Linked DNA regions of Danio rerio. The protein of the gene in region 2 purifies or fractionates together with the protein of the main gene of each other region. This does not show direct contact. Links are inferred from orthologs where the notes say so. Each region holds a gene or a part of one and is shown on either strand. Other genes may lie near its edges. The genes, in order: col1a1b and p4ha2.

What was found.
Region 1: the proteins of p4ha2 (region 2) and col1a1b purify together in Homo sapiens (co-immunoprecipitation; 3 studies listed by BioGRID and IntAct, counting the BioPlex papers as one, with this or other methods). This does not show direct contact. The link is inferred for Danio rerio from reciprocal best matches to the Homo sapiens genes P4HA2 and COL1A1.

Annotation. Positions count from the first base shown.
Region 1 is NC_133187.1:3,504,587-3,508,422, forward strand, and holds part of col1a1b (collagen, type I, alpha 1b), read right to left. Parts: intron 3,509-3,836; coding exon 3,455-3,508; intron 3,360-3,454; coding exon 3,306-3,359; intron 2,131-3,305; coding exon 2,077-2,130; intron 1,301-2,076; coding exon 1,256-1,300; intron 657-1,255; coding exon 558-656; intron 56-557; coding exon 1-55. UniProt on the Homo sapiens protein: Type I collagen is a member of group I collagen (fibrillar forming collagen).
Region 2 is NC_133196.1:46,842,028-46,845,756, forward strand, and holds the end of p4ha2 (prolyl 4-hydroxylase subunit alpha-2 precursor), read right to left. Parts: intron 3,034-3,729; coding exon 2,965-3,033; intron 1,867-2,964; coding exon 1,770-1,866; intron 923-1,769; coding exon 852-922; 3' UTR 600-851; downstream 1-599. UniProt on the Homo sapiens protein: Catalyzes the post-translational formation of 4-hydroxyproline in -Xaa-Pro-Gly- sequences in collagens and other proteins.

The DNA.
Region 1 (3,836 bases), on a different chromosome or scaffold from region 2:
CCTGCATCCCTGCGGGTCCGACACCACCGTTGGCTCCAGCGGCACCAGGCTCTCCCTGAACACACAAAAAGCATCAGGTTATTTCTCTGACATCTCTGTACTGCATTTTACATTTGCCATACATTTATTAATTTTGTAAATGCTTTTATCCAGATAAACTTACAAGCTCTCACCCAAAAAGGACAATCTTTACTTGTGTTAAACCTTTATGAGTTCTGTTTTTTTGTTGATCACAAAAGAAGATATTTAGAAAAATGTTGGAAACCGGTGACTATTGACTTCTATAGTATTTGTTTTTCCAACTATCGATGGCAATGTTTACAGGTTACCAACATTGTCAAACTATCTTCTTTTGTTTTTAGACGAACAAAACCACTTGAAGGAGAGTAAATATTGAGTACATTTTCAATTTTGGGTGAACTATCCCTTTAAATTCCTAGAGAGTTCCGATATTTAAATTCTATGTCAAGTTATTATTTTTATTTATTTAATTTTTTAGTACTGATGACGGGAATACAAATATATATCTCATTATGTTATTGAAACAGGAGTCTTACCTTTGCACCATCATTACCAGGGGATCCAGGGGCTCCACGAGGGCCGGTTGGGCCACCAGGTCCAGGGGACCCACGCTCACCAGGGAAACCTCGGTCACCCTACGGGAGACATTTACAACATTACTCTACTGTATTTCATTACAAGTAAACAGAAACTACTGTAGTTGTTTATATTTAAAGGTGCTGTGAAGTGCTTTGAAATGTGCAGTACTGTGTGATGTCTGACAAAGACAGGGAGGGGCATAGAGTAGCTCCTCCCCTTTAAAAAAATAGCCAATAGCGTTTGATTTGCATGGAATGTATAACACTACATTTTTAAAATGTGAAATAATCAAGCAATATATATATTTTTAAACAGCTTTTACATCATTTCATACTATAAAATATTGCTTTTCTATTTATTTCTTTTTCTTTCTTTTGCATCTATATTTTGTTTTAAAGTATGTTGTTAATTGAAAAACAACATACAGATACAAAAAGAATTTCCTATATATGTATATATGTATATATATATATATATATATATATATATATATATATATATATATATATATATATATATATATATATATATATATATATATATATATATATATATATATCAGTAATAGTGCGAATACATTTAATAAGTGCAAAAGCGGAAAACAGAGGTGTGTATTACAGATTGAGATGAAGGATATTTATGTGAATATACTCACTCTGGGACCAGAAGGGCCAGAAGGACCAGCTTCACCAGGAAGACCCTGTTAAACAATCAACATAATCAATAACACAGATTAAATGCTGATTGGCTTTTTTAATATGAAATGATTGTTTACAATACGCTTGATTATGGTGACTTAACCTAAACTCCATACAGCAAGCATACAGTAAAACAAACAAAAAAACTCAGACAACAGCTATAATTGTTTGGATTTTGTTTGTATTGTTGTACAGGACACTATAGTTTATTTATGTAAATGAGGATAGCAAAATGAAGTAAACCGTGACATATTATACTCAAAAACTCTTCATACAAATGAGCCTGAGGGATTCCAGAAACTACAGTAATAAAAGTTGTGCAAATATTGTTATAATGCAGTTGTCTGAAGCAGTTTTGGTAATGTTTTTTTAATGCCATGTCAGCAACCAAGGCTTTTTTCATGGCAAGAACATTTTAATGTTAAATATACAATTAAAACAACAAACAAATGGTACATAAATTAAATAGGATTTTTAGCGCTAATACATTATAAAAATTCTAACATTATATCTGGTGCCACTTTGCTAAAAATGTCCTTAAGAGAGTTCAGTTCATTAAAAAGCCTTCTGAATCATTACAAGCAGGACAGTGCTGGTCAATAGTGATCCATTAGATACTGTGCCTTTCAATCAAAGCATTATCAAGATGAGTTTGTTCTGACCAAGTTTGACTAGGAGTCATATTTTATGGTTATTTCCTAAACATTCATATTGTGAGAAATGCTCTGAGAAATCATTTTTGTTTTTACTCTAGACATGTTTGAGCGATCATCCATACCTGTTCACCGGGTTTGCCAGTCTCACCGGTAGCACCCTGTGCACCTGGAAGACCCTGGAAGAGAACAAATAATGATTGTATTAAATGACTAAATCAATTTTAAGTTTAGCTGGAAATACACCAGCATTATTGCACTACTCTCCTGTCTACCTGATTTGCTGGAATGTTTTTTTACTATATTTACTATTCTCTATTCTCATACCTGTCAACAATCCCGTTTTTCCAGGGATTCTCCCGTATTTTACAGTTCTATCCCGGGGGAATCCCTTATTATGGTGGGTGTATCCCTTATTTTCACAACCGAATGTTGACAGGTATGTATTCTTCATCTATGTGATTTGACTCTACATTATAAAAAGCAGATGAATAAAACTAAATTACACCAATAGTGATGTTTCCGTCCAACCATTTTTATGCACTTTATGTAATATCACATTAAAAAAAATGAGGTAAAAATATAATTATTGCATGCAAAATAAAAATTTGCTTTTCATTTACTCTTTAGTTGATCCTTTTTATTTTTACCATTATTGTTGTCGTTAGCATTACTATTATTAATATTACTTAACAACTTCCTGCATTGCTGTATTTTGTTCATTTTATATATGCATGTCTTTTGTTATACTCAATGTTGTATGCTGATTGTCCACATCGTTTGTTTTGTTCACATAATTTCAAAATAAAATATAAAATTTGTTGAAAAATAAGATTGTTTTGACATAATATATATGTGTGTGATGTGTATATTGACTATTTCTATATAAATACACACATGCATGCAAATATTTGAGAAAATGTATTTATGTTTAGATTTAAAATATGATACAAACTGTATATAAATTTAAATATCGATGTAACAATATTGTTTTTATACAGTTTTGTTTCTATGTATACGTGTCTATCACCTACACATAATAAATATATTGCCTAATACTCAAAAAATTAAAAATTTTGTGCATAAATTTAGAAAATATGCATTAAAAACATGCACAAATTACATTTTCTTTTGGATAAATGCCACCAGTTAATCAGGAATTGATTATTTTTTTTCCCTTGACTTTTAGGATGGAAATGGTGATTTATTTGCAAATGCTTTATGCGATATTCCAGCTTTGCGCATGAATCAAAAGCTATTGATAATACTTACTTATTATTAAAAATACTAGGCATTTCTTCTAAATTACACAAGTAAAAGGGTCTGTGTTGATGATGAGCATCTAAAAATGTACCTGGAATCCAGAAGGACCAGCAGATCCCTGTTCTCCTTTCTCTCCAGCAGGTCCCTATGAGACGACAGGCCAGAACAAAGTCAGAACAGTTCACACTGAAATAATAGATTTGTAATACATCAAACTTTTAAAGGTTTTAGCAGACTTACAGCAGGTCCAGGAGCACCGGGACTACCGATATCACCATCCTTACCAGGAGCTCCCTTTGGAAATACAGAGAAACACACAATGATCATAATTCAATTCATTTGAATTCAACTCAGGTTTATTTGTATATTGCTTTTCACAATAATTATTGTTTCAAAGCAGCTTTAAAAAAAGGTGCACATTATTGCATTACAATCACATTCACAAAACTTAAGGTTATTAGTTGCATTACTTTATAAGTTACTAATAACTAATTGACTAGTAACTAATAGCTTTTAACAATTAAAGTTATTATGCATAAACATAGTTAACCTGCAGTTTTATTGCATATAGGTAATGTCTATGTGTACAAGATGAATCCGCTCAAACATTAAAAAAAAAAAA
Region 2 (3,729 bases):
TATTCAAAGGCTTTTATGCTCCCAAACCGCACGGACGTAAATGCGTCTGAGTGTTCTGATTGGCTTAAGCAGAAGTCTTACGTCAGCACGTTCTAGACGTGCACGCGCTTATTACGGCAATCTTCCATCTGCATTCACACAGCCCAGCATTCCTGCAAATTGCTGGTAATGTTACAACTTCACTTTCCGGAAAATAGCCAGAACGAATTTACCGGTATTTTCAAAAAGGGCCTGTTCACACATACAATGTGTGAAAGGGGCTATAGTTGAATTTTGTAAAAAATGGTGCAACATTCTCAACCATTGTTTAACTAATCTAATGCTCTCAATTATTGACTTTACAAAGTCAAGTCTTTATCTGAAAAAATGTAAAGATTGATATGAACCAGAATTTTGGAGAAGGGTCTTGCTGCAGAGTTGAACTTGCATCTTCAGGCTTGCGCTCTGCACGCTCAGGCACCCACGCTTTCTATTTCAACACAAGTAAACCAAGAGTAAGTTTACAGCAATGATTCTTGAACGACTTGGGAAACTATTCTTAAATAATGTAAAACATTATTTATTTCAATAATAAATGAATATGCAAGCAAAGAAACACATAATTTCCTATATTTTTATTGCAAATCATACATGAATATAAAATAAACACTAGAACAGGACAATAATTTAAGCATTACATAAACAATGACACGATTCCCCGGGTGAACCTGACTGGAGAATGCAAACACACAAAATAAAGCCTGAAATCCCTCACGGACATCACGTATGGATGAATGTGGAGAGTGTGATTATCTCTGTGTGTGTGCAGAGTCAAGGCACTGTGGGTAATATACTGCGTTCATCATCCCTGATCAGTCCACTTCTGTCAGGCCACACGGCCGTCTGAACTCCTGCCCTCGCTCGTGGATCCACTTGTTTGAAACTGAAAGACAAGAGGAACTTGTAAGGTTTGTGAACATCTGATGCGCTTAAAACAACCACATTTTATGCCTTGTTTACTTTCATATTCAATTATGTAACAGTGGCAGGGGTTGTTTTTTTATTGCCACATCAGCAACTCATAGTTAAATTAATGCAAGATTACAATTATTTGCCCTCCTGTGCATTTTCTTTTTCAAATATTTCCCAAATGATGTTTACCAGAGCAAGGAATTTTTTAACAGTATTTCCTATAATATTTTTTCTTCTAGAGAAACTCATTTGTTTAATTTCAGCCAGAAAACACACTCCCCGGCCACTTTATTAGGTACACCTTACTAGTTCGTTGTAACGAGTGCTTTTTTGAGTAACTGCTGCCTTTCTATCAGCTGGAACCAGTCTGGCCATTCTCCTCTGACCTCTGGCATCAACAAGGCATTTGCGCCCACAGAACTGCTGCACACTGGATATTTCCTCTTTTCAGACCCTTCTCTATAAACCCTAGAGATGGTTGTGCATGAAAATCCCAGTAGATCAGCAGTTTCTGAAATACTCTATAGAGCAGCCAGTCTGGCACCAACAACCATGCCACGTTCAAAGTCACTTAAATTCCTTTTCTTCTCATTCTGATGCTCAGTTTGAACTGCAGCAGATCGTCTTGACCATGTCTACGTGCCTAAATGCATTGAGTTGCTGCCATGTGATTGGCTGATTAGAAATTTGCGTTAACGAGCAGTTGGACAGGTGTACCTAATTAAGTGGCCGATAAGTGTGTGTGTGTGTGTGTGTGTGTATAAATGTCTACTGTATATAGTACACAATAATCTGTAGTTAAAATTTAGTGCACTTACCCCATTTACTGCCTACTAGCACAGGACAGGCTGCATGTCTTGTCCTGTAGTCTCCTTCTCCACTTCTGAAGAGATTGTACCAGAACACTGCTGTTCCCTGCAACATCAATACAATATATTAAAGCCTATTAAGCAAAAATCATTTTATAAGGGATTTAAACAAGGTTGTGTGTGGATATACTCAGCTTATAATGGTAAACATAAATTAACTGTGTTTTTTTATCATCACACTTGATATAAACAGTCTGCAGAAACACTTTGATTGACATTTTCCCTTTGTACGAGTCATCAGAGGGGGAAAGCCCCGCCTACTAGTGACCATCTCTCCCTCATTAGCATAATGATGTTTTTGAATCTGCCACTATGCTGACACACAGGCATTTATAGCTCCGCCCTCTTTTGAAAAGATCAATCTCATTTGAATTTAAAGTGACAGTCATCAAAATAACACAATTTGGATTGAGTTTCAAAGAGTTATAAAACATTATTTGTTTGGTATTTTAAGATAAAAATTCACATCTTGTAAAAAGAAGCATAATAGGTCCCCTATAAGCCTATTAGATTTTTTTAGGTGTAACACCTTAATACACAGGTGTCAAACTCAGTTCCAAAAGGGCCGCAGCTCTGCACAGTTTAGTTCCAACCCTAATTAAACACACCTGATCAAACTAATTGAGTCCTTAAGGCTTGTTTGAAACCTACAGGTAAGTGTGTTGGAGCAGGGTTGAAACTAAACTGTGCAGGGCTTCGGCCCTCCAGGAATTGAGTTTGACACCCCTGACTTAATATATTATAGAGGCAATTATATTACCGATGACATTATACAATTCATTCATTTTCTTGTCGGCTTAGTCCCTTTATTAATCTGGGGTCGCCACAGCGGAATGAACCGCCAACTTATCCAGCATATGTTTTACACAACGGATGCCCTTACAGCTGCAACCCATGACTGGGAAACACAATACACGCTCATTTATTCAATGACAATTTAGCTCACCCAATTCACCTATAGTGCATGTGTTTGGACTGAGGGGGAAACCGGAGCATCCGGAGAAAACCCACACTGGAAGAACATGCAAACTCCACACAAAAATGCCAATTGATACAGTGACTCGAACCAGTGTCCTTGCTGTGAGGCCACCATGACGCCCGACATTATACAATTTATTATAAAATATCAATAGAGTGTGTGTACCTTTCTGGGCCAAACAGAAGCACCAAAGTCAGGGAAAACAGTCGCTCCGCCGGCTTCAACATCACTCATCTGTAATGGAGATCCAGTATAAATATACACTTTTCATCTGAGAGATAGTATGTTATCAGTGTTACAGAAATTACAGAAGGACTTCAAGTTTAGTGCAGAAAACGATTAAAATCAGAAAAGTCTCAATTTTAAAGGTCCCATGAAATCCCAATAACGTTTTTTAGATGTTTGTATCAGTGTCGTTAGTTTTTAGGATATCTATAAGCTACTGCGCTCCAAAACAGAAACAAAATTTGCGTCTAGGGAGATATAAAACTGATATTATTTTAATCACATTACCTCATACTTCAGTTTTTCGTCACATCATAACCAATCAAATTCTCTCTAGTATCTGATATGCCCCGCCCCCTTCAAGAGGCTTCACATTTGATGCACTTGAGCTCTCTCACTGGCAGAGCTGTGGTCAAACTAAACGCTATTGGCTGTTTTTTTAAAGGTGAGAAGCTACATTACGTCCCACCCTCTCTTCATGTCTTGGTTGAGATTACATCAAACATCTAATAAAAATGCAGATTTCAAAGCACTTCACGGGACCTTTAAAGATTACAAACAGCTATTGACAGTGCGATAAATTAAAAAAGTAAAGGCCAATGGAAAAGATCAGCAAAGAAGATGCAGAGAGAGTGATAAAGCAAGAAAATCATCTCTACTTGTGTCCATTTATTTAATCATTCATAAACGACAGCGAAAGCACAC